Macaca mulatta: one gene and its partners. The protein of the gene in region 2 interacts with the protein of the main gene of each other region in a pairwise test. Links are inferred from orthologs where the notes say so. Each region holds a gene or a part of one and is shown on either strand. Other genes may lie near its edges. The genes, in order: VCP, NTAQ1, PPCDC, NT5C1A, EIF2B1, CDR2 and JUP.

Region 1 (3,500 bases), on a different chromosome or scaffold from region 2:
ATAAAAAAAAAGAAAAGAAAATGAGACTAGGCATGACGGCTCATGCCTGTAATCCCAGCACTTTGGGAGGCCATGGCAGGTGGGTCACTTGAGACCAGCAGTTTGAGACCAGCGTGGGCATCATAGTGAGACCCCATTTCTTTTTTTTTTTGAGACAGAGTCTTGCTCTGTCACCCAGGCTGGAGTACAGTGGCCTGGTCTTGGCTCACTGCAACCTCCACCTCTTGGGTTCAAGCAATTCTTGTGCCTCAGCCCCCCAGGTCGTTGGGATTACAGGTGCCCACAATGCGGTTTTGCCATGTTGGCCAGGCTGGTCTCGAACTCCTGGCCTCAAGTGATCCACCCGTCTCAGCCTCCCAAATCGCTGGGGTTATAGGTGTGAGCCACGGTGCCCAGCTGACCCCATCTCTTAAAAAATAAATAAATAAATACAGGAGAAAAGCATAAAAGATTAAAAAAAAAAAAAAGAAAACGAGACGAAGATGTTCCAAGGTTTATTAACTACAGTCAATAATCCTTAAACTCAGAATTAGCTCTCACCTTTCCGGATGGGTCGATAAGCTTCCAGGAAGTACGGCTTAAGGTATACCTCAAAGAGATTACCAGTAATGCCTTCCACTGTGTCATCAATGGGCAGCACGTGGATACGTTTGCCGTACTTCACATCAGGGCATGGCTGGATGCTGAGGATGACAAGCAGACTCCATATTACCAACCACACTTCGGGCCCAAGCACTGGGTGTCCAAAAGGGCCTGGCACAGATAGCTGATAGTAAGTGAAAAAGAAAAGGCAGGATGGCTTTAGGTGAAGAGAGGAAGGAGAACACCGTGGAAGTGAGGGCAAAGGAACAGCCCCACTCACTTCTAATCAGTGAGCCAAAATCAAGAGCCACACATTTAGAAACCCCACAAAGATATGCAAGGTCTTCAGTGAGATATCCAAGGATGATCCCCTTCTAGCTAATATCGGTGACCCAATATTACAAGGGAAGGTCTTAAGCTAACAACTGTCGGGGTCAGTGAAACAGAAGTGAAAAAAACAAAATTATCTCAGCCAGGTGTTCAGAACACCTTGAGGAAGTGACTAAGCACCCCCAAGAAGAAAGCTACATGAAACTTAAGACTCCATCAAAAAGAATCAAAAGCCTGAGATGATCCTGGCCAGGTGATGGTTGGTTGGGTAAGAGTGGCTAGAGATGACTCCAAGATGGGGCAACCTCTTGCCTAAAATTATGCAAGAACAAGCAAAATCACTCACATTGAGAACTATCCTGGGTCTGGCTCCAACTATTCCTCTCTCCCGGGTTCACTTAGGGGCTTAAAAGGCCTGCTAGCAGCTCACCTTCCATGTCCATATCCCCACCTCATTCCAACCCCAACGCAAGCCATTAATTGGACATACTAGTGAGAGTAGTGAGGAGGTTATTTGGCAGATACATACACACCCTCGAGTGGTATCCTAAGCTAGGCTATAAGTATGATAAATTACACTTCTAGTAGGAAAAAATAAAGGCACCAAGAAAGTTACAGGAATGCCAATTTGTCTCAAGCGACCTGCAGAAATGGATTTTGAAGTCCCAGGAAGGCAGAACCAAAACCTAAAGACAATCCTGAAGCATAAGTCTTCCCATGACCAGCAGGCTTCCTGCATCGACAGGTTCCAAGAACTTGGTCCTGCCAGTAATACATGGGTACTGCCTGTAATGCAGGCTATCTCTGGCCTCCCATCCCTGTGGAGCCAAAAACCCCACACACCTGATGACATCCCCTAGGCGTACACGAAGGTTATTCCGAACAACTCTATTCATCCGAATCTTCTCATCAGAACAAGTGTCATCAGAAAGGACGATGCAAACAGCTTCTCGTCTCTTCTTTCCTTTCAGCAACACTGTGTCACCTCGGAACAACTGCAATTCATCCATCTTGGGCTGAGGATAGAAAGTTAAGGCCTTTGGGTCACTGGGCAGAAGGGGAGTAAGCAACAGCCCTCGAGATTGGGATTCCCAGTAAACCCCACTCTATCTGCAGTCTGCAAATACAAATATCTGCAAAATGAGAAAAGAAACCTGGGCAAATCCCTCAAGTAAGTGCAGTAAGGAAAGACTAGTTTGTGGCCCCAGCTTACCTGGGACAAGGACACCACACTGTTGTCCTCATTGATGGCTTCATCAACAATTAACCGATTGGGACGGTTCTTCTGTTTGAGAATGGCTGTTGATAGGTCATCACCTTTTGAACTAGAAGCAGGAAATGGAGTCAGTCCCAGTAGATACTCCTGCCCCAAGGGCCTCACCAGTCTCTAAAACTCATACTTAGGAAACAAACAGTGAATAGATGAAGCTGTCCCTAGACCAGAGAGCGCGGATGAAGGAAAGGCAGCCAAGGTCACGAGGAGCAGTATCTAGCATACATATTACAATACCCATTCCGGCAGCTCCTGGTATTTTGAGCATCAGTGTCCCAGCTATAAGGCTCCAAGTGAGTGATCCTGCCCCAAGAAGACATAATAGAAATGGAGACTGAAGAGTTATTAGAGAAATAAAAATAGTCTTAGACTTATAGAAGAGTGGTTAAGAGCAGGAACTCTATAATAGTCAGACCCATTGGGTCTGAATTCCAATTCTGCCACTACTTAACTGTGATCTTGGGCAAGTTACCTAACCTCTGAACTTTGATGTCTTCCTCTATAAGAGAGAGACTATAATACTTACCTCAGAGGCTTATTGTCTTAAGGGAGATAATGAATGTAAAATGCTTAACATAATAGCTGGCACATGGTAATAACAGTCACCATGATTAACAATATAAAGCATAAGCTAACTTTCCAGGGAATGAAGTAAGCCAGACAATTTCCCTTGAGGCTCGGGGAGCTCTCAAGTCCTACCAAGCAAGCCTGGGGACAATGAAGCAGAATTATTGGCGCTACCCTCCTTATAGGCTAAACCTACTGATGCCAGGGCATTCCATAGTACCAAAGGAATGCCAAGCATAAAAATCATCATATGGTTTCCATCATATTTGGAAACAACACTAACAAACATGAAACTGCCAGAAAGAGGCTCAAGGTCAAAAGGAACTTCACAGTAATTTCTGCAAAAGCACACAATTCCATAAAGTTGGCTCAAAAAACCAAAACCAAGAAATGCTGAAACACTGTGCAAATACAAATCCCTCTCATCCAAATCAAAGTTGACTGGGTCTATACTCAGTTTGTTATTTCCTACAAGACAGGGTCATTCACCAGACAGTGACACCAACTTATTACCTAGCCCATCTCCAGCTGTCACTTAGTAGACTCAAGTTCTCTCTCTCTCTCTCTTTTTTTTTTTCTTGAGATGGAGTTTCGCTCTTGTTGTACAGGCTGGAATGCAATGAAGGGATCTCAGCTAACTGCAACCTCTGCTCCGCCTCCCAGGTTCAAGTGATTCTCCCGCCTCAGCCTTCCCAGTAGCTGGGATTACAGGCATGAGCCACCACGCCCAGCTAATTCTGCATTTTTA
Region 2 (4,130 bases):
ACTATTATCATTAAGCAGGGTCTTGAAGCATAAGTAACATTTGGAAGCTAACATGACAGAAGCTAACAGAAGTAGACAGGAGGCACTCATTTCAAGTTTAAAAACCTGCAGGATGGCCAGGCATGGTGACTCATGCCTGTAATCCCAGAACTTTGGGAGGCCGAGGCGGGTGGATCACCTCAGGTCAGGAGTTTGAGACCAGCCCGGCCACTGTGGTGAAACCTCATCTCTACTAAAAATACAAAAATGAGCCGGGCATGGTGGTGGGTGCCTGTAGTCCCAGCTACTCGGGAGGCTGAGGCAGGAGAATGGCTTGAGCCTGGGAGGCAGAGGTTGCAGTGAGCCGAGATGGCACCACTGCACTCCAGCCTGGGTGATAGACTGAGACTCCGTCTCAAAAATAAAAAAACCCCACAAAGCTGCAGGAGCCAAAGTAGTGCAGTGCCCCCACCTGACATGTTCAGACAGGGTAGAGCACTGTTTCTCAGCAAAAGGCGATTTTGCCCCCCAAGCCCTACAGGACACTTAGCAATGTCTGGAGACATTTTTGGTTGTCACAACTAGAGCTAGGGTGCTAACAGCATCTAGTGGGTAGAGGCCAGGGATGCTGCTACATGTCCTGCAATACACAGGACAGCCCCCATAGCAAAGAATTATCATGCTCAAAATGTCACTCGAACCTAGGCGGAGAAATCCTGCGGTAGAGTGGTCAACTCTTACCATTCTTCTACAAGACTGCTCTAACTCTGATACTCCAATTGTACCAGTCTCCTCACTGTTTCTATCATACAGCACAATTCCTTCTCAGAGCCTTTGTACCTGCTGTTCTCCCTGCTTAAATGACCATCCTCCAATAGATGCAAAGCTCTCACCCTCTTTTTTCAGATCTCTGTTCAAATATCACCTTATCAACAATGTCTTCTCAAAATATCCTAATAGAAAATAAGCCACCATCCTTTATCTTATTTTTCTCACAGCACTTAACACCACCCAAACATGGTTTACTTGTTTTTGTCTGCCTTTTTTTTTTGAGATGGAATCTCGCTCTGTTTCCCAGGCTGGAGTGCAGTGGCATCGGCTCACAGGAATCTCCTCCTCCCGGGTTCAAGCGATTCTCCTGCCTCAGCTTCCCGAGTAGCTGGGATTACAGGCGTGTGCCACCACACCTGGCTAATTTTTGTATTTTTAGTAGAGGCAGCCTTTCTGCATGTTGGCCAGCCTGGTCTCAAACTCCTGGCCTCAAGTGATCCGCCCACCTCAGCCTCCCAAAGTGCTGGAATTACAGGCGTGAGCCATCGCACCGGACCTTATCTGCTTTTCTCTCATCAAAATACAAGAACCAAGGGATCCATGAGTGAATTTGTCCATCTTGTTCACTGCTGTATCTCCAGTGCCCAGAAGTGGGCCACATACTCCAAGTGCCTAATACACATTTATTGAATGAATGAATAAAACAATGGACATTAGGGAGGAGAACTAACGGGATTTAGAAGAGGCAGGACAGAAAAAGAGTGCAGCAGTTAAGATGCATGAACTTCAAAATCACGAAGATGTTCCAGTTTCAGCACCACCACTTGCTAGATGTGTGATCTGGGGGCACACAACAGCCTCTCTGTGGCTCACTCTTTTTATTAGTAAAATGAGGATAACGATAGTAAAAGAAGCTACTCATGGACATCGATGGAAGCACCTGCCACTGAGCCTGACATGCAATCAGGGCCGAACAAATGCTCGGTGGCATTGATTTAGTGACAAGCAGAAGGGGGAAGGGTAGTTTTAGATAGCACTGAGGGTTCCTGTGCAAGGACTAGAAGAAGCTGGGGAAGAAACCATTACTCAGGAAAGAGTAGGCATGGGAATGAAAAAGGACCAAGGCAGGGGCGGTGCTTCAGCTGCAGAGGTGGCCTAGGACAGGGGTGCAGAGCATGGACTCCGGGGCCAGACTCTGCCTGTAAATCCCCACTCCTTCATTCACAAGTGATGTGGCCCTGCGCAAATTACTTGCAGCCCTCTGTGCTTCAGTGCTCTCATCTTTAAACTGGGGATAACAATACCTACCTCTTAGGGTTATTGTGATACTCAGTGATTTAGTTTACCTAAACCACCCAGAACAACGCGTGGCATATAGCAAGGGCTGTGTGAATGTAACCATTATTATAATGACAACATGGTTAAGATCATGGTTTCTGGTGCCAGAGAGCCCGAACTGGATTCCTGGCTGCTATTAGCTGGGTGACCTTGGGAAGTTATCCCAAACTCTCTGTGCTTCCATTCTCTTCCAAAATTAAAATGACCTTCGCCTCAGTCTGAAACCCCACATGCTTCAGCAGAGTAACTTCCAAAGGTTTTCAGAGCTCCACCCTCCCTAGCCCCGAAGCAGAGATCTGCTGAGCAAATCCAACCGACAAGCGCCAGGCACAGGTAATGCACTATCGACCCTAGGATTCCGGACGAATTCCCAACCCCATCCAACAGCCCACGCTCTACTCAAGAGACAAGAGCTGCCATTCCCGCTCCCTACTCCCGCAGAACTGTAGAACCCGCCGGTAGAGGCCGGGAGCGCCCCCGAGCAGGGGCCGGGAAGAGGCGGGGCCTGGTTGCAACTCGCGGCCCGGGAGCCAGGGAGACCCAGAGGCTGCGCCCGCGCCCCCTCACCAGTAGCAGCTGCTGTAGACACAGGCGTCCCGCGGGGGACTGGCCGGCTGGTAGTGGACGGCAGTGGGGCCATTACCCTCCATGGCCAGCTAGCTCAGCCAGCGCCGACGCCGGAGGAAGACCGACTGGACCACACGTAGGAAAGGGCGGGCGTGTAGCGGCACGCGCGGGCTCTCAGGGCGGGGTGGGAGGAGCCCGGGGCGGCCGGGACAGTTTCCGGGCGGTGGGGCCAGGAGCGCGGTGGGCGGGGCTCGCAGCACGAGTTCTCAGCGCGGGAAGCCGGGGACGAAATGGGCAGAGCTCGGGCAAGCGGCGCCAGTTCCTGGGAAGGTGGAGCCCAAGCGAAGTGGGCGGGTCCGGGGTGGGGTGAGCGGCGAGAACTCCCGGTGGGCGGAGCCCGGGACGAGGAGGACTGCGTGCTTCCGGGTAGGCGGAGCCCGGCTGGTGGGTGGAGCCCGGGGTGGGGCAGGACTGGAGGCTTGGGCTCTCGTGGGCGGAGTCAGGGGCGGGGCCCCGGTGAGGTTTGGGAGAAGAGGGGTCTTTGGCGGCGGCTTAGGGTGGAGCTAGGTTTGGGCTTGGAGTTGGGCCCTGAATAGCGCTTCGCTGTGAATCTCCCGGGGAGGCTCTTCCAACTTGGGGCTGAGCTTCTGCGCTGTGGAGAAGCCAGGTGAGACACTGAAATAACAGAGGTTTGGGTGTGAAAATCCACACTTCAGCACTCAGCCTGGAGTCCGCGGGAGCCCAGAGAAGAGGAGGGGAGTGGAGGTTAATTCCAATATGACCGCATCGAGGACGCTTTCCGAAAGGGATAGCACACCAAATCTCACTCTATTGTAACTTAATCTTTTAAATTGGAAGACCTATATCTATTGGCTCGAAAAGATATATTAATTCCCTGATATAGTAAATTTGAAAAAAAAAGTTTAAAGAGTCCATATGGTATCGTTTTTGTGTTAATCATGTGTTTGTTCATTTACTGGCAGTCTGGAAGAAAAGACACCATATTGTTAAAATAGTATTTAGGGCCGGGCGCCGTGGCTCAGGCCTGTAATCCCAGCACTTGGTAAGGCCGAGGCGGGTGGATCACGAGGTCAGGAGTTCGAGACCAGCCTGGCCAAAATGGTGAAACTCCGTCTCTACTAAAAATACAAAAATTAGCTGGGCGTGGAGGCGCGCGCCTGTAGTCCCAGACACTCGGGAGGCTGAGGCAGGAGAATCGCTTGAACCCGGGAGGCGGAGGTTGCAGTAAGCCAAGATAGTGCCATTGCACTCCAGCCTGGTCGACAGAGCAAGACTCCGTCTCAAAAAAAGAAAAAAAATAGAATTTATCTATGGTGAATGAATAGTATTAATATCAGGGACTTTCAGTTTCAAGGACTTTACACTTTACAGTCTTCTGAATTGTTTATATTTGCAATGAGGATAACTCGCTAATCAGGGTACTTCCCATTATAAAAACTGAGATGTTTACATTG
Region 3 (2,435 bases), on a different chromosome or scaffold from region 2:
CAACCCTCCTGGCTGCTTACCTGTCACCTGCATAAAGGGATGTGTCAGCTTAGCATCCAGGATTTTCTTTTTCCCAAAATGAGATGGGGCATTGCAGTAAATGTTAGGAAAGCTCTCTGGCATATAAGCATGCCTAGTTTTAACTTCCATTGATTTGACATTTACTATGTTCCAGGCACTCAGTGGCATGGGTATTTTGCACACATAATTTCACCGAATCCTCTCAACAACTCCCTGAGGGTAGGAAACAAGATAGCTGAGGAAAGTGAAGGTCAGGAAGGCTAAGTCCTGAACCAAACTCCCACTGCCAGTAAGTGGCAGAGCTGGGATTGGAACTAGGGGCTTTCTGGCTTCAGAACTTTATCCTTAACCACCATGTTATATGGGGACTAAAGAGTACCAGTGAGTCATCAACCCAGACCCTTCCCCAGCCACACCTGGCAACACCCCCTGGTCTCTGGGACCACAGTTGGGTTATAGGGAAAGAATGGAGCCTCCTAAACGGTGATTGTTCTTTATTTCCCCGCACCTTCAATCTCATGGCATGGTCTGCAGGAAACCTCAGAGTCCTGCCAACTCGCAGGCTTCGCTGATCGCATGGCATCTGGGCACCCCGCCAAAGAGCTGAAGCTCCCAAGGCTCAGCCAGGACTCTCCAGCTGTGGTGTTTCTAAAAGTCATTCTGGGTGAGATGTAGAGCCGAGTTTTCCCAGTCGCTCAGTCCTCCTCCAGTGAGGACAACACTGCTTGCTCTCCTGGCTTGCCTCGCCCATCCAGGAAAAGGTGGGGATGGGCTCTAGGCAGCGGCCTCTCTTGGTTGAAAGAAGCTGAGACCTGAGCCTTCTGTCCAGTATAACCTGGAGCAGGCCCAGCCCCTGGGGAGGCTCAGAGCAGGCCCCCCATTCAGCAAATAAGGGAATCCTCCTATTTTGCCAACATCCATCTTCACCAACTTGGCCTGAACACATGCTGAATACAGAGGGACAACCATGACAGAAATTCCAGGTCAACTCTGCTGGAAGCCACTGTGCTGGAAGAGGACTTCTTTCACTTTGTCCACGATGGTCCCCACTTCAGCCATGGCCCCCAGACCTGGGAGCAAAATTCCGCTGTAGCCAGACAGGCAGACAGTGCCTGTAGCCCTGCAGACCCCTGCCCATTGCTCCCTGAGTGCTCCACCGAGAGCCCAAGGCCTGAGAGGGCAAGGTCTGTCTCTGCCTGAGTCAGACACATCATATCTCTCCCGAGACCCCCGGTGAGGCCCTGGGAATCGTTCCAGTGGCCATCCTTAACTACGTGTGGGCTGCGTGCCAGGGACTCTACCATGTACTTTACATGGTCCATCCCATTTTACCCTACCAATCTGGAGGCAGGAATTACAATTCCCATTTTCCAACTGAGAAAGCTAAGCTCAGAGAATGGTTTGCTAAGGTCATAACAGGCCAGGAACTGAACTGAGATGTGACCCCAAAGCTGAGCCCCTTCTACGGCCATGGGCTATGAGCCTGGCAAGACACCCACCTTCGTCTCCACACACCAGCTTCTTGGCCACACAGGGGATCTCGACATAGCCGAAGGCCTTGAGCTGGTCTACCTGCTGCGCTGTGATAGGGTGCTCCCACATGGCGGTGTTCATGGCCGGGCAGAAGAGCAGGGGCTTGCTGCGGTCCCAGGCCCGGATGATGCAGGTCTGTGAACAAAGCCGGGGAAGTGGGGGTCTTGCTACTCTGTCTGCCACCTTCCCCACTGCCCTCCAGACCCTGCAGCCAGCAGCCCAGCTGTGGGCTTGAGATGAATGGGCACAGCCTGGCTGCAGAGAACTGTCTCGTCTCTCAGGGGTGGAGGCTGTGTCTCCTCGCCTCTCTCCACCTCCCCACAGGCTCTGGCACAGGATCCTACAAACAGGAGGTGCTCAACCAACGCTCAGACCTCCAGCAGGTATCCCTGTGCCTAAGCCTCCTCCAGGTAGGCTCACACCTCCTGGGAGAAGCAACCCTGGGGAGCAGAAGGCAGGCTTTTTTGGTTACACCAGAAAGCAAAGGACGAGGCTGCTCCTCAGTGGGGCCCATCTACCCGACATCAGCTCTGCAAGGCCAGCTAAAGTCTGGCAATGAAAACATCTGCCGTTACCAAAACCTTCTCATGTATAGGATCTCATTAACCCTCACTGTGACCTTATAAAGAAGGTGTTGGCTGGGTGCAGTGGCTCACACCTGTAATCCCAGCACTTTGGAGGCCGAGGCAGGCAGATCACAAGGTCAGGAGATCAAGACCATCCTGGCTAACATGGTAAAACCCTGTCTCTACTAAAAATACAAAAAATTAGCCAGGCGTGGTGGCAGGCACCTGTAGTCCCAGCTACTTGGGAGGCTGAGGCAGGAGAATCGCTTGAACCTGGGAGGCGGAGTTTGCAGTGAGCCGAGATCACACCACTGT
Region 4 (3,500 bases), on a different chromosome or scaffold from region 2:
GTTGAGAATGCCAGTTCCGTCTGCATAATTTCCTACAAGTACATCACTCATAGGGATGCGGGCAGACAGGCAGAAGCACAGAACAGTGAGAAACTAGAGGGATCTACCAGAGGACGTGTCGAAGTATTTCAGGGAGCCTGGAGCAATGTGGATCAGTAAAGCTGGTGGTTCAGCTACTGTGCAGATGGGGCCTGCTTTGCAGGTGCAGTCCGCCGGGGTGTCTGTGCCACGCCATAAGGCACATGGGCGGCCACAGTGCCCATCTCCTGAGCACCAGCCACATGGAACATCTGGTCATCAAAGAAGATGTGTGGGCGGATCTTCTCTAGGAGGGGGCCCTTGGGCGCTCCAGCGAGGAACAGGGCTTCATCTGTCTCCAGGCCCCAGCTGCGCAGGGTCTTGAGAGCCCGGGCCCCAGAACTGGCTGCACTGCGTGCTGTCACCAAGTAGGTACGAATTGGGCACTCCAGCCGTAGGCCTTTGGAGTAGAACTTCTTCTGCAGCCTACCCAGTGCCTCCAGAAAGCCCTTTAAGGGGCCCTATGAGAAGGCAAGGGGAACACTGTTAGCTCTACCACCTCCCAAATATTTGCCCCCTGCTCTCCCTAAAGCACTAGTGTCTTGTTTGGTGTGAAAAGTTCAGGATCCCTCAATCTTTCAGTTAGTTCTGCTCATGCCTGCTTATGCTGCTGTGTGCGCCAGTGGGGCTCCAGTCAGGGGAACTGTGTTATTGCATACTGGTGCAGGGTCAGAATAACTCTCAGGGCAACTGTTGATATGTATCCTCCATCCATATGCCCATCAAGGTATACAGATGTCTGTCCTGAAGCTCTGTAAGTGTGGCCTTTTGTGCCCTTCAACAGGGAGGATATTAAAACTAGTAACTATGGCAATGGGCACCCTTCAATCAGAATGGACTCCAGCTGTAAACAGCTGGAGAAGATGGCCCAGTGTGTAACTGTTGAGTATCAACCGTGCCCATCTGGCACCCAGGTGGCTCAAGGTGTCATCCTCAAGCTCTCTAGGGTCAGGGAAAGAATTTATTCTCTACAGTGCCCAGAACAATGAAGCTTCCTGAGGATGTGAGAATAAAAAAGCAGACGACAATGAAGAAAACTGCTTATTTCCAAAGCAGCTAGAAATAAACAAAAGGGGGCTCCTCGTCTTGGAGACCTCTTGCTTGCTAGGTGAACTGGAATAAGCAGTGGTCTCCTGGGCCTCTGCTTACCACTTAGTAGGATAACTCTCCTGCCCTGGATTCCCAAGGATTTCAGAGGCAACTCACAAGAACAGATGCGAACTGAATATTTAGGAGCCACAACTGAAACCTGCTGAGCTCTTGGAGCGGGGGGCTCTGAGATTATTGAGCATGCAGCTTTTTGTTAAAAGCTCAAATAGGAGCTCCCAGCAGAGCTGGAGAATCCAAAAGCCCCAACTCCAGGGAATTTCCACCAAGCTCTAGGGTATATTCTGTTCTGAGAGACACTGAGCAGTTTGAGGGTGAGTGAGTGTCCCTATGCCCCCAGCTAAGGGATGGATGGCAAGAGGTGTCCCAAAGCAAATGGTCTGCCCCAGATGCCACACCCAGCTGGATCTCCCTGCCCCAGTGAGGCGTCCCAGTCCAGCAGTTCGTTTCCTCCTGTTTCCAGGGAGGGAAACAGGCTTCTTAAGAGGCTGGGCATGCTCTCAGAGGGGTGGGGGATCTCAGGGGAGGAAGTGAGGGTTCCAGAGAGACGATGGGAACTTCAGAGAAACAGAATGAGGCCTTCAGAACAGGGCAGGGACTTCAGAGAAGGGGGGGATGTAGAGAATGGGGACATCAGGCAGGGAAAGGAGACCTCAGAAATGGGGATTTGAGCTGCAGAGAGTGGGTATGGGCTTAGAGAGAGGCTTAGAGAATGGAGGCTTCAAAGTGGGGTTGGGACTTCAGTGAGGGGATGTGGGCTCGACAAAGTGGGTGGAAGCTCATTGATGGGGGGCCAGTGGTCAAGTGAGAGGGTTGACGGGACCGGGCTGGAATCTGGGCTGAGCCTGGGGTTTGTTTGGTTCCGGGCTGGGAGTGCAGGCCAAGGGCGGATCTGGGGAGCTGCCTTGTTCCTCTCAGGGGTTCTGGGTCTCTATGGAGCACCTGAGCCAGAGGTTTGTTCTCGTGGGCCTTCTCATGCTCGAAGAATCGGTCCAGCCCGTGGGCCTTGACGATGCGCTCCGACTCATCCGAGAAGAGCACAGCGTCCCCGTCGAAGGCCACGCGCAGCTGACTCTGGGACACAACCACGTCCCTGCTGGGGCTGAAGATGGTGGCAGCTGCGATCCCTAGGCAGAGAGAGGCAAGTATTATCTGCCTTCAGGCTGGGCAGTAGGGCCAGAGCGGGCTAACTTAGGCTGTCCTTGCCCCACCTGCCTCATACAGGACTCAGGGCAAGGCTGATAAAAACTAATATTTAAAACATGTAAAAACTGGTAGTGCATGGATCCTGGCCACGAAGAGGGCAGCAGCAGTGGCTCTGAAGCAGATCTCTAGGGCCCTTGCCTTGCCAGGTTACCCTGTTGGTTATTGCTTTGTGGAAAAGTCTGGGAGGAGTCCCGGGGAGGAGGAGGGCACTCAGGACTCAGGGCAGGAACTATTTACCAACCAGTGTGAAGGAATTTCAATACTTTAACCCCTAGTAAGATCATGCTGCTGTGGACCAGCCAAACGTGAGTCCCACCGGCCACTGCCTTCCTGCCAGGGGTGCTTTACAACCCCTGCTATAGACCTACATTGGGGCTGGAAGGAGCCCCAACTCTGGTTTGGCCTCAGTCACTCCCTCACCATTGGTTCTAGCAAGTCACTCACCTTCTCTGGACCACTGTAAAATTAAGGGCCTCTCATCTCTGGGGCTGAGACCATAGGCTGCAATCAGGTGAGGTGAGTACGGGCACCCTCAGTCTACAGCCACAATGACACCCAGGTATGCCCTACTGGCAGCTGTTCAGGGTTCCAAAAAACAACCTAGGTGGCCCTGGGAGACAGCACAAGTGATGGCTAGTTGTGTGCACAAACTCTCTGCAACCCCGGGCTCCTCCAGGGATCCAAGGATGCCTCTCAGGGGTTCAGGCTCCAGGCTAGAGCTGCACTAGATGGCAGAAAGCCAGTGCTGGGAGGCTGGAGACCTGGGCTGCTAGCTGAGCCCATTCCCTAGTCTCCATCTCTTCAAAGACCACTTCAGCCCAACTCTTTGAGAACTGAGGATCACAGAGGCTGGGCTTAGGTGAGCTTTGGGAGGAGTGAGCAGTGCTACCCGCACACAACTTCACTAGCCTGAGGATGCTACAAGCAGGGCCAGTGCCAGGCATCAAGCCAAGCACCTTCTCAGCTCTGCCAGCACTGGAACCAAGATGATCCAGAACCACCTCTACCCTCAGCAGGGCCTTCCCGTGGACCATTATCTTGCTCCTTAGCCTGAGGTCAAGTTACGAACACACAGAGGCACACCTACATGCCAGTGCCAAGGCCCCAAC
Region 5 (4,082 bases), on a different chromosome or scaffold from region 2:
TCTTGCTCCCCACAGTCCATTTTCCACACAACAGCCACAGTGATCTTTTAAAATTGCAAACCAGATCATAACACTTCCTGGCTTAAAACTCTACAATGTCTTTGTCTTGCACCTAAAAATAAAGCCTAACTTCTCTATCATGGCCAATAAGGCCCTGCATGACCTGAAACTGGCTGGTTCTCTGATCTCATCCCTCTAGCCTCCTTTTTCTTCAAGACATCTGACTGTGTATGTGGCAGCTAATGTATGAATGGGTCTCCCCACCATCCTCTACCCACAAGCTCTCCATTCCTCCCTTCTCGGTGTAACTTGTAACTCTGCCACAGGGCCCTTGCACTTAAAGTGCACTTTCCCAGAACTTCACACAATCATTTGAGTCGGTTTCAATATCCTGCATTTTTCCTTGGCCCCGATTAAAACAGCGCCTCCTCAAAGTCACAATGTACTATTGTAACTAGGACTGTATTATTACATGATCTTCATAGCTCTTTTCATCCTTTGAAAAATAATTTATTTTTTAATTTTTTATTGACGAGGTCATGCCCTGTCACCCATGCTGGGAGCAGTGCTCCGATCATAGCTCACTGAAGCCTCGAACTCCTGGGCTCAAGTGATTCTCCCGCCTCACCCTCCCGAGTAGCTGGGACCACAGACACGCGCCCGGCTAATTATTTTATTTTTCTGTAGAGATGGGGTCTGGCTGTGTTGCCCAGGCAGGTCTCGAACTCCCGGCTTCAAGCGATTCTCCCGCCTCGGCCTCCCAAAGTGCTGGGATTACAGGCCTAATCCACCCGGGTGTGACCCGGCCGAAATTATTTTTATTTATTGTCGTCTGTTTCACCCAGTAGACTGTAACCTCCACTAAGGCCCCTGTCTGTCACGATCCCTGCTACAATCCAATAAATAATGCCTGCACACAGGAGGCGATCCAAAAATATTTACTGAATGAATGACTGAATGCCTTGGCTACTCCTCTAAAGACCAAACGGGTTCTATCCAGCCCAAAAGACACACTCCATCTGGCCGGTCATAGCCGGATCGAGCCCGCCAAGCCCCGGAGTCGAACTCCGCCCTGCAGGGTCCTCACCGTCTGAAACCATGGCTGTCCCAGCACCTCAGCGAAGAACAAGCGGTGGTCAGGCGAGCGTCTCAAACGCTGCGCAGCCCAACATCCGGCGCCGCCGAGTGACGCACAAGGTGCTTTGACTCATGCCAGCCCCCTAAGCTGCGGAAGTGGAATGCGGAGGTGCGCCGGTTGTGGGGTACGGAAGTGCGCCACGGCAGTGCGCCGGAAGTGTGGTGCGGAGGTGTGCGGTGCGCTGTCAGACTGGCTGGGAGGCGGCGCGGCCGGCGGACCCGTTCAAGACAGCGCGGGCGGCTCGGGTGCCCCGGGGCTCCGCCGCAGGAGGACGCCATGGACGACAAGGGTAAATCAGGACAGGCCAGGGCTGCTAGGCTACAGCAGAGCCGTTCAGGGGTCCCCCCAACCTCTCACATCCAGGCTGAGCTCCCGAAGAGATTTCTTTTGAACTTCAGGCTGCTTCACTGGATGTGTTTCCTCGAGTCACAACTAAATTCCCCGCGCTGCTCTTGTTTTCAGGGATGCGCCCTGACGGTATTTGCAGGCACCCCTCCCACACATACGCTCCTTCCCGGTGCCTGTCTCCAGAAGGGCCTTCGCAGTTTCGATTTCCTTATATGTGAAATAGGAGTAAGACTCCCTGCCTTGTTGGATCTGTCATTAAAATTAGAATGAATAAGGCATATTTGATGTGCTCATCTAGTATGCTTATTAAGTGAAACACAAGGGCAAACTAATATACTTTTCATGTAAAGAAATAAAGGGGAGTGGGTGGAACTCCATATGTATTTGTAACATATATGTGTATGTGAATAGACTTGTATTAGCATAGACTGTCTGGAGGGGTGCAGGAGAAATTGGCAAGGTGGTTGACTTTGGGATCCTCTCAGATCTTAGGGCCAAGGATGCTGAAGAGAGAATGACTTTTCATCATCATTTACTCGGGCTTAATTTTTAGGCCTTGCACACCAGTAGCTTTTTCAAAATAAGAAAGAGCTCTTGCAAACAGCAAAGTGGTGTTTTCTCTATTCCTATCAACGTTTATTGCATCCCTGAAACTAAATACCCTAAAAAGAAAGTATTTTTTAAATTATTTGCTTCTTAAAAAGTCGGCAGTCATTAACAAGCTCTCTTGCCTTACATGCTGCTAAATGAATTAGATGAATCACTTTTCTCACTTTTTCCAGAGTTAATTGAATACTTTAAGTCTCAGATGAAAGAAGATCCTGACATGGCCTCAGCAGTGGCTGCCATCCGGACGTTGCTGGAGTTCTTGAAGCGAGATAAAGGTATAGAGAGTCATCTGTTAACATTCTGGGATTTAGGAAAGTCTTTTTTTAAAAAAAAAGAGACGGAGTCTCGCTCTGTCGCCCAGGCTGGAGTGCAGTGGTGCAATCTTGGCTTACTGCAACCTCCGCCTCCTGGGTTCAAGCAATTCTCCTGCCTCAGCCTCCTCAGTAGCTGGGACTACAGGCGCACGCTGCCATGCCTGGCTAATTTTTTTGTATTTTAGAGACAGGGTTTCACCATGTTACCCAGGCTGATGTCGAACTCCTGAGCTTAGGCAATCTGCCTGCCTTGGCCTCCCAAAGTGTTAGGATTACAGGCGTGAGCCACTGTGCTCGGCCCTTTTTTTTTTTTTTTTTGAGACAGTTTTGCTCTTGTCTCCCAGGCTGGAGTGCAGTGGCACGATCTCAGCTCACTGCAGCTTCTGCCTCTCAAGTTCAAGTGATTCTCTTGCTTCAGCCTTCCGAGTAGCTGGGATTACAGGCATGTACTATCACACCTGGCAAATTTTTTTATTTTTAGTGGAGACGGGGTTTCACCATGTTGGCCACACTGGTCTTAAATCCTGACCTCAGGTGATCTGTCCGCCTCGCCCTCCCAAACTGCTGGGATTACAGGCATGAGCCTGTGTTCGGCCAGGAAATTCTTCTCATGACTCTTGGAAATGTAGAAAGTGAGAGATGCATGTTTGCCTGCATAAAGTAGTACAGCTCCAAGCTCAGTTTCTGCCTTCATTTCAGACTTTTCAATCTGGAGAGAGCCCTTACATTGTCATCAAAAGGATCCCTATCATAAGTGAAATATACTTTGAATCAAGAGTGACTATTTTATATTGTGTTAACCATGATGCTTAAATTACAGTAGCAGTTCAGCTTTATAAGTGTTCATTAGGCCTCCACCTTGTGCCAGATTCTGTACAGATGTTACAGGGAATATTCCAGAATAAATTCTGGTATTAGTATTATTTATTGTGATCCCCTAATTCAGCACTCTAAACGTTAGCATCTAGGTATAGCATGAAATCTTGTATAGGCAAAATAATAATAAGGCCTTTAATCTGAAGGGCAGGCCTAGAGACGCTTGTCTCTAAGGCAACCTCCAGTGTCTTCCCATTGTTCTTAAAATAACATCCAAACAACCTTAGCCTCACCCATACCACCTTGCAGAACTCATCTGCCGCTGCTACTCAATGTGTTTCCATGCCTCAGCCTCCCAAAGTGCTGGGATTACAGGCCTGAGCCACCATGCCTGGCCACCCGGCTTTATTTCTATGTGTGCTTGTTTACTATCCGCTTCCTCTATTAGAATCAAAACGCCATCAGATCATAACCCTAGGGGCCTGTCTTGTTCACTGATATATTCCTCTTATCTAGAACAGTGCCTGGTACATAATAATATACATTATTATGTACCTAATAAATGTTCATTGAATGAATGAATGAATTGAAGACACAGGTCGTGGCTGTGGTCCTAATGTGAACATCACATTCCTTGGATCATTCCAGGGGAGACAATCCAGGGCCTGAGGGCGAATCTCACCAGTGCCATAGAAACCCTGTGTGGTGTGGACTCCTCCGTGGCAGTGTCCTCTGGCGGGGAGCTCTTCCTCCGCTTCATCAGCCTTACCTCCCTGGAATACTCCGTAAGCACCTGCTCTCCCTGGGGTTACCTTTCTACTTCTCCATTTAGTGACAGACATTCTCAGCATTACCTG
Region 6 (3,935 bases), on a different chromosome or scaffold from region 2:
AGCAGCTGGGACTACAGGCGCCCACCACCATGCCCGGCTAATTTTTTATTTTTTGTATTTTTAGTAGAGACAGGGTTTCACCGTGTTAGCCAGGATGGTCTCGTTCTCCTGACCTCGTGATCCACCTGCCTCGGCCTCTCAAAGTGCTGGGATTACAGGCGTGAGCCACCGCGCCTGGCCAGACCTGTGTTTTTAACGTTAAACTTGAAGAGTTGATGACTTTATTTTGATCAGAGGTTAAAGAGAATTCCACCTGTAACCCTGACACGCTGCACTTGCTGCTTGATAGACTGAAGTGTTACAGCTGGTGGTTCCAAACAACCTCCAACAGTGGGAGAACGCAGCGTGGACTAAGGCACCTGATGGAAGAGAGCCATGAAAACACTTCTGTGATAGTGCTTCAGTGCAGTTCAACAAATACTAAAATCGAGCTTCCAGTATGTGCCAAGTATTATGCTAGATGCTGGGAATACCAGAAAAAAGAACCTGCCCCCTCTATACCCTTAAGGATTTATGCTTCTTAAATTTTTTTTTTTTTTTAAGACAGAGTCTCGTGTCGCCCAGGCTGGAGTGCCGCGGCGCCATCTTGGCTCACTGCAACCTCGGCCTTCTATATTCAAGCAATTCTCCTGCCTCAGTCTCCTGAGTAGCTGGGATTACAGGCACATGCTAATTATAGGCACGCCTGGCTAATTTTTGTATTTTTAGTAGAGACGGGGTTTCACCTTGTTGGTCAGGCTGGGCTCAAACTCCTGATCTTGTGATCCACCCGCCGCGGCCTCCCAAAGTGTTGGGATTACAGGCGTGAGCCACCGCACCCGGCCTATGCTTCTTAAATACAGGAAAGAAAAATATTTAGTTGTGATGATACAAATTAAATTATAGGGAAATACTGCAATGGCACAGTGGTTGCCTCACAAATCCTGGAGAAACTATCAAACTAGGCCATCAATCCCTATGGGGAAATCTGAAAACAGGTTTGTTAAAACGTATGAGAAATGTGTCCTTTGGACATAAAGATGATGCCACCAAACACTGCACTGCAACCACTAAGCAGCTTGGACTCTATAAGCGTAATAAAGGTGAATTACTTTGGTTAAAGTGATTGCATGTTAATTTAAGAAATTATCTTCCTCCAAAAGAGGTGCTCGTTTTATTTTCCTTTTCTGAGTTACTCAAGTCTACACAGTTTCCTTCTGCCATGTTCAGTGGTTAGCATGAACAAGCATCTGCCATGTTCAGTGGTTAGCATGAACAAGCATCTGCCATGTTCAGTGGTTAGCATGAACAAGCATCAGCATCATTCAATATTTAACTAAATGAGATGTTAATTTTCACTGCAAGATTAGAGCTGAAAACATTTACATAGAATTGCAGAAACCAAAGATGCCGGGAAAAATTCCTGAGGATTATTCACAGTGTTCAGTATAGCGGTTAAGAATGTTTGCTCTCGAGTCTTAAGGGGAACCCTAGCACTCCCCAACATTATCACCTCTATTGTGTTACTGGGAGATAAATGAGCAACTCTGTTATGGGCCTATCAGTGTTAGGCACATCAAAAGTGTTCCCCAATTGCTAGCTCCTGCTATTAGTATAAAAAAAAGTGGGGCCCCACTGGCCCCAAAGTGTTGGCTGCTCTATGATTGTTCTCTGGAGACACCATCGGCAGGCCTATTTCTAAGTGAAAGCTGGCATGCAAACTGAAGAAAAGTGGCAGAGGTAGAAGCGCTCTTCTGTCATTTCAACTGGCATCTGGTGAACTATGCGTAACAGCTTAATTCCCAACTGAAAAAAAACTGTTAACTAGGATGGTAAGGAAGGGATGGGGGTTTGAGGAGTGACTACAACTCCTCCTTTTGAGTGTGTGGGTTCAAAAAACCACTCCCTCCCCCACTTAGCTTTAGGCAAGCCACTCAACCGTTTCAACCTCCGCTTTCCTCATCTGGAAAATGGGATAACAAAAGTTACTCTCAGTGTAATTGGATTGTTTGTACCTCAATGGATAAATGCTGGAAGGGATGGACGCCCCGTTCTCCATCACGTGCTTATTTCACACTGCGTGCCTGTATCCAAACATCTCACGTACCCCATAAATAGATACACCTACTATGTACCCTCAAAATTAATCAATTTTTTAAAAGTTACTGTCTCCTAGAGTTACGGCGCAGAGCGCACAGCTCCCGCTACATCGCAAAACCACTACCACCTGCAGCAGCCGGCCCTCCGTGCTGGCCAAGAAAGGCGCTGGGCTACACAGCCTGCGAGGGGGCGGCTTCTCGGGCTCTGCCACTTACTACGGGACACACTGGCTCACCCGGTCTGCCTCGGAGGAATGCAGTGAGGATTAAACTAGCTAATCCACGGAAAGCGCTTAAAACGGTGCCTGGCGCGTCCCTGGCCCCCATGCGCCTCGGGTCTGATATTCAACTGCGCATTAGCAGGGCCGTGGGCCCCGCGCCGAGGCTTCCTGCGGGCGGGATCCACGGGCACGGCCGGCCCCGCCGCCAGGTGAGCCCGAGCCCTTCCCGGCACCTGCATCCTCAGCCGCCAGAAAAAGCAACTTTTTAACAGTTTCGCAGCGGGGGCCTCCCGGGCCAGGCCGCCGCCGCCGCCGCCCGCCCGCCCGCGGGGCGCCCCCGCCCTCACCTTGCTGGAGGTCCTGGTGGTCGTACCACGGCTCGTCCTCCTTCATTTCAAACTCCTCCACCAGGTTTTCCGCCAGCATCTCGGCTGGGTCCTCTAGGGGCAACGGTCCCCGCCGCCGCCGTCCCGCCTCAGCCGCTGCCCCGGGCTCTTCCCCGGCCCCTCCGCCCTCAGCCAGAGCCGCCCTCGGGCGGGACGCGCCGCCGCCCAGGCTCCGCCGCGCCGCCTCAGCCCCGTTCCCGCCGGCGACCGCCGCCGACCGGCCGGCTGCTTCGACTCGCCTAGCGCCTCCCAACGGCCCCAACGGCCGGGCGTTACGGCGCGAACGTAGGGAGCCAGGTTCTCACGCTGCCGCCGGTCTTCACGCCGCCGCCGGGCCCAACGTGGCACTTTGGCAGAACCCTCCCCGGCCGGGGATGCGATTCAAACCCCCGGCGGCTTCTCAACCAATCGCGAGCGGGCCGCTGGCCGAGCGACAGGGACTTCGTCCAATAGCGTCTCTCCAAAGACCCGCGGCTCGCCCGGTTTCGAGGCCAAGCAGCCAATGACGGGCCCCGAATAAACAAAGAAGGCGGGGAAACAGTGAAGGGGTGCGGCCGAAAGCCCGCCCCCTGATCTGCGCTGTGCGGCTCCTAGGAGCGCGTACTAGGTTCCGGGCTGTGGAGCTGGCGGAGGCGAGTCCTGCCGCTTTGGTGGGTGTCCCGAGGCCAGCGCGTCCGTGGACAGGCAGCGCAGGCCGGAGGGCCTAGGACTTCGGCCTCTGAGAGGCGGGCGGTTGTCGAGAGGCGTCCTTCGTGCCGGCGGGAAGCGCGAGGGTGCCGGAAGCCGGAGGTCCGCCGCCCGGCTGCCGCTTCTCGCATGTTGACTCTGAGATTTGCTCCGGGTCCGGCAAGGAGACTCGGAGTCGATCGGGAGTTTAGGGCTGAGAAAACGCCCACTGAGCGGTAGCTCTTGTCTCGTTGACATCTGAGCTCTGGGAATTACGCTCCCTAAAACGGTGGGCGCCAGACCCCGTTGAGAATCTGGGGCAGTGAGGGATGCCCGAAGCTGTCCACTTGGAGGGGGAAAATTGTAAGCAGGGTTGCAACGATTTTTAAAAGGTACCTCTAGACCACAAGTTAAGCATCTGGGGACGTGGCATTGCACCTGGAGGGGTCAGGCTGCAGCCCCAGCACTTAGTAGCCAGCAAGGCAGAGCACGCTGTCCTCCACCGACATAACCCAGCAAATACTGCTCATGAGTAAAGCTTTTAGCACCATCTTACAGACAAAGCACGGAAACTCTTAAGCAGG
Region 7 (3,500 bases), on a different chromosome or scaffold from region 2:
GCGCACCATGCAGAATACCAGTGACCTGGACACGGCCCGCTGTACCACCAGCATCCTGCACAACCTCTCCCACCACCGGGAGGGGCTGCTCGCCATCTTCAAGTCGGGCGGCATCCCTGCTCTGGTCCGCATGCTCAGGTACCCACCCCTGCTCAGTGCAGGAGTCCAGGACCCCGCCTCACTTGGGCCTCTCCCCTCCCTTCCCTGGGCTTCCATAAATACCCAGCGAGCAACTATCATGTGCCAGGCAGAGGCACACCCCATCCTGGTGCTCAGTGGCTCACAGCCCAGCAGGGAACACAGGCATGTAAACAGCAGGTTAATGATCAGGATATGACACAGGCTGTGGCAGAAGAGCATTGAGGTTGCTCAGAGGTGGAATCGCTTAATGGCAGGGGATTAACAGATGAGTGGAGTTTGGCTAGTGTGGAGGAACCGAAGAGTGTCCCAGGCAGAGGGAACAGCAAATGCAAAGTTCCTTACAAACTTTCTGTTTCTGGGCCCCCTACAAAATGTTGATTGGTCTCATTTCTCGTTTTTTTTGAGATGAGGTCTTGCTGTCGCCCAAGCTGGACTGCAGTGGCATGATCTCAGCTCACTGCAGCTTCCACCTCCCAGGTTTGAATATTCCTTCTGCCTCAGTCTCCTGAGTAGCTGGGATTACAAGTGTCTGCCACCATGCCCAGCTAATTTTTTTTTTTTTTTTTGAGACAGAGTTTTCCTCTTGTTGCCCAGGCTGGAGTGCAGTGGCGCAGTCTCAGCTCACTGCAACCTCCGCCTCCCGGGTTCAAGCGATTCTCCTGCCTTAGCCTCCCAAGTAGCAGGGATTACAGGTGCCCACCACCACGCCTGGCTAATTTTTGTATTTTTAGTAAAGATGGGGTTTCACCATGTTGGCCAGGCTAGTCTTGAACTCCTGACCTCAGGTGATCTGCCCGCCTTGGCCTCCCAAAGTGCTGGGATTATAGGCGTCTGCCACCATGTCGAGCTCAATTTTGTATTTTTAATAGAGACGGAGTTTCGCCACGTTGGCCAGGCTGGTCTCGAACTCCTAACCTCAGGTGATCCCCCGCCTCGGCCTCCCAAAGTGCTGAGATTACAGACGTGAGCCACCGCGCCTGGCCTCATTTCTCATCCCTATACCAGGCTGGGAGCTCCATGAAGGGGAGACACTGATTTCATTCCCCTCTGAACACCTTGCAAGGCCTCTCTAATATGTGGCCTTCCACATGGTAGTTACTTAGTAGGGATCAGTGTCTAGGGACCTGCTGTGTGCTCAGCACAGGGCTGGGGGCTCAGAAGCAGGAGGAGTCATTGTCTCAGTTGGGAGAAGACAGGTGCTGTTTGCTTCATGCTTAAGAGCCGGGCAGGCTCAAGGAGTGATGAGATTTTAGCAAAGGGATATTTCCAGAGGGGTGTCAGTAGTGGGGAGGCTTCCTGGGGGAGGTGGGAACCCATACCAGGCTCACATGTATGCCAGGCCCCTGGGACCTCGGCATACTAACCCCTGCCCACCCCCCCAGCTCCCCTGTGGAGTCGGTCCTGTTCTACGCCATCACCACGCTGCATAACCTGCTCCTGTACCAGGAGGGCGCCAAGATGGCCGTGCGCCTGGCTGACGGGCTGCAAAAGATGGTGCCCCTGCTCAACAAGAACAATCCCAAGTTCCTGGCCATCACCACCGACTGCCTGCAGCTCCTGGCCTACGGCAACCAGGAGAGCAAGGTGGGCCCTCCCCAACCCTCCTGAGGCCTGAAGCCCACCCTTGCGTCACCCTCTATCCTCCACAGCTTCGGGCTGCTGCCCCTTACTCCTTTTAGATGAGATATAGGGGCAGATGTGCATGCTTCATCATGCGACTGAATTGGTCAGAATTATTATTTTGAGCATAAGGAAAAAAAATCACTCATCCTCATACAGCCACTATTGTCATTTCGATATGCTCCGTTAAGAGCTGTTCTGTGGGCAGACTACAGATGTGTGCACATTCTTGTCATAACAATCTGCAACATTGCATCTGTTTTCTGCCTGCTTTTTTTTTTTTTTTTTTTTGAGACAGGGTCACCCAGGCTGGAGTGCAGTGGTGTAATCAGGGCTCACTGCAACCTTGACTTCCTGGGCTCAGATGATCCTCCCACCTCGGCCTCCAGAGTAGCTGGGACTTCAGGCATGTGCCACCATGCCCGACTAGTTCTTTTTTACTCTTCTTTTTTTTTTTTTTTTTTTTTGAGATGGAGTCTCACTCTGTCGCCTAGGCTGGAGTGCGGTGGCGCAATCTCAGCTGACTGCAACTTCCGCCTCCCGGGTTCAAGTGATTCTCCTGCCTCAGCCTCCCAAGTAGCTGGGATTACAGGTGCCCACCACTATGCTCAGCTAATTTTTGTATTTTTAGTAGAGACAAGGTTTCACCAGGTTGGCCAGGCTGGTCTCAAACTCCTGACCTTAGGTGATCCATCTGCCTTGGCCTCCCAAAGTGCTGGGATTACAGGCGTGAGCCACTGCACCGGGCCCCCGACTAATTTTTTGTAGAGGTGAGATTTCTCCATGTTGCCCAGGCTGGTCTCAAACTCCTAGGTTCAAGTGATCTGTCTGCCTTGGCCTCCCAAAGTGTCAGGATTACAGGTATGAGCCACTGTGTCTGGCCTGCATGATGTTTAAAAAAAATTGTTTTTGCTCTGTTGTCCTCAAAACCACCCTCTAATAATGACAGATTGCCTTTCCTTTCCCCTTTCCCCTTTCTTTTTCCTTTTCCTTTCCCTTTTCCTCTCTTCCTCTCTTTCTTCCTTCCTTCCCATTTCTTCCTTTTCTTTCTTTTTTGAGATAGGGTCTCACTGTGTTACCCAGGCTAGAGTACAGTGGCATGATCCTAGCTCACTGCAACCTCAAAATCCTGAGCTCAAGCATTCCTCCCACCTTAGCCTTCCTGATAACTAGGACTACAGAAACGTACCAATGAGCTAATTAGCACCTGGGCTAAGTTTTAAATTTTTTATGGGGATGGGGTCTTGCTCTGTTGCCCAGGCTACCCTCAAGGAATCCTCCTGCCTCAGCCTCCGAAATAGTGGGATTAAAGTCATGAGCCACCATACCTAGCCTACAGATAGCATTTCATTAAGTGGAGACCTTAGGCTTTATTCTGAGGGAGGGTATTTAGATTGCTCCTATTCCACCTTTATAAACAATGCTGTCTAACGAATTAACGAATGTCTTTGGGCATATAGCCTTTGTCAAAGAGTGGAAAAAATTCTCATTGATTTTTAACAGTTCTAGGCTTTTACCCAAATGGCCAGACTGATTTCCAGAAGGATTGGACTAATTTCCAGTGCCATAACTGGTAATGGATGTGCATATAGTTTTGTCACATCCTTGTCAGCACTAGGTATTATCCTTTTTTTCAAAATTTTGGCTTACATAACAGTCATGAAACTATTGGGGTGGGCTGGGTGTGGTGGCTCACGCCTGTAATCCCAGCACTTTGGGAGGCCGAGGTAGGTGAATTG

Evidence for each region.
Region 1: the proteins of NTAQ1 (region 2) and VCP interact in binary tests that used the Homo sapiens proteins (3 or more experiments, as listed by UniProt). The two-hybrid records come from large-scale screens. The link is inferred for Macaca mulatta from reciprocal best matches to the Homo sapiens genes NTAQ1 and VCP.
Region 3: the proteins of NTAQ1 (region 2) and PPCDC interact in binary tests that used the Homo sapiens proteins (3 or more experiments, as listed by UniProt). The two-hybrid records come from large-scale screens. The link is inferred for Macaca mulatta from reciprocal best matches to the Homo sapiens genes NTAQ1 and PPCDC.
Region 4: the proteins of NTAQ1 (region 2) and NT5C1A interact in binary tests that used the Homo sapiens proteins (3 or more experiments, as listed by UniProt). The two-hybrid records come from large-scale screens. The link is inferred for Macaca mulatta from reciprocal best matches to the Homo sapiens genes NTAQ1 and NT5C1A.
Region 5: the proteins of NTAQ1 (region 2) and EIF2B1 interact in binary tests that used the Homo sapiens proteins (3 or more experiments, as listed by UniProt). The two-hybrid records come from large-scale screens. The link is inferred for Macaca mulatta from reciprocal best matches to the Homo sapiens genes NTAQ1 and EIF2B1.
Region 6: the proteins of NTAQ1 (region 2) and CDR2 interact in binary tests that used the Homo sapiens proteins (3 or more experiments, as listed by UniProt). The two-hybrid records come from large-scale screens. The link is inferred for Macaca mulatta from reciprocal best matches to the Homo sapiens genes NTAQ1 and CDR2.
Region 7: the proteins of NTAQ1 (region 2) and JUP interact in binary tests that used the Homo sapiens proteins (3 or more experiments, as listed by UniProt). The two-hybrid records come from large-scale screens. The link is inferred for Macaca mulatta from reciprocal best matches to the Homo sapiens genes NTAQ1 and JUP.

What each region holds. Positions count from the first base shown.
Region 1 is NC_133420.1:64,659,049-64,662,548, reverse strand, and holds part of VCP (transitional endoplasmic reticulum ATPase), read right to left. Parts: intron 2,238-3,500; coding exon 2,126-2,237; intron 1,929-2,125; coding exon 1,756-1,928; intron 684-1,755; coding exon 541-683; exon of another isoform or gene 506-540; intron 1-505. UniProt on the Homo sapiens protein: Necessary for the fragmentation of Golgi stacks during mitosis and for their reassembly after mitosis. Involved in the formation of the transitional endoplasmic reticulum (tER).
Region 2 is NC_133413.1:133,837,243-133,841,372, reverse strand, and holds the start of NTAQ1 (protein N-terminal glutamine amidohydrolase), read right to left. Parts: upstream 2,801-4,130; 5' UTR 2,739-2,800; coding exon 2,656-2,738; intron 1-2,655. UniProt on the Homo sapiens protein: Mediates the side-chain deamidation of N-terminal glutamine residues to glutamate, an important step in N-end rule pathway of protein degradation.
Region 3 is NC_133412.1:53,003,786-53,006,220, reverse strand, and holds the end of PPCDC (phosphopantothenoylcysteine decarboxylase), read right to left. Parts: intron 1,690-2,435; coding exon 1,521-1,689; intron 1,094-1,520; exon of another isoform or gene 1,092-1,093; coding exon 1,006-1,091; 3' UTR 501-1,005; downstream 1-500. UniProt on the Homo sapiens protein: Catalyzes the decarboxylation of the cysteine moiety of 4-phosphopantothenoylcysteine to form 4'-phosphopantotheine and this reaction forms part of the biosynthesis of coenzyme A.
Region 4 is NC_133406.1:201,123,640-201,127,139, reverse strand, and holds part of NT5C1A (cytosolic 5'-nucleotidase 1A), read right to left. Parts: intron 2,313-3,500; coding exon 2,128-2,312; intron 540-2,127; coding exon 174-539; 3' UTR 1-173.
Region 5 is NC_133416.1:131,055,305-131,059,386, reverse strand, and holds the start of EIF2B1 (translation initiation factor eIF2B subunit alpha), read left to right. Parts: upstream 1-1,282; 5' UTR 1,283-1,414; coding exon 1,415-1,427; intron 1,428-2,268; coding exon 2,269-2,370; intron 2,371-3,873; coding exon 3,874-4,010; intron 4,011-4,082. Other genes in the region: GTF2H3 (general transcription factor IIH subunit 3), read right to left, coding at 1,088-1,100.
Region 6 is NC_133425.1:21,841,763-21,845,697, forward strand, and holds the start of CDR2 (cerebellar degeneration-related protein 2), read right to left. Parts: upstream 2,801-3,935; 5' UTR 2,726-2,800; coding exon 2,647-2,725; intron 1-2,646.
Region 7 is NC_133421.1:66,096,254-66,099,753, reverse strand, and holds part of JUP (junction plakoglobin), read left to right. Parts: coding exon 1-138; intron 139-1,523; coding exon 1,524-1,725; intron 1,726-3,500. UniProt on the Homo sapiens protein: Common junctional plaque protein. The membrane-associated plaques are architectural elements in an important strategic position to influence the arrangement and function of both the cytoskeleton and the cells within the tissue.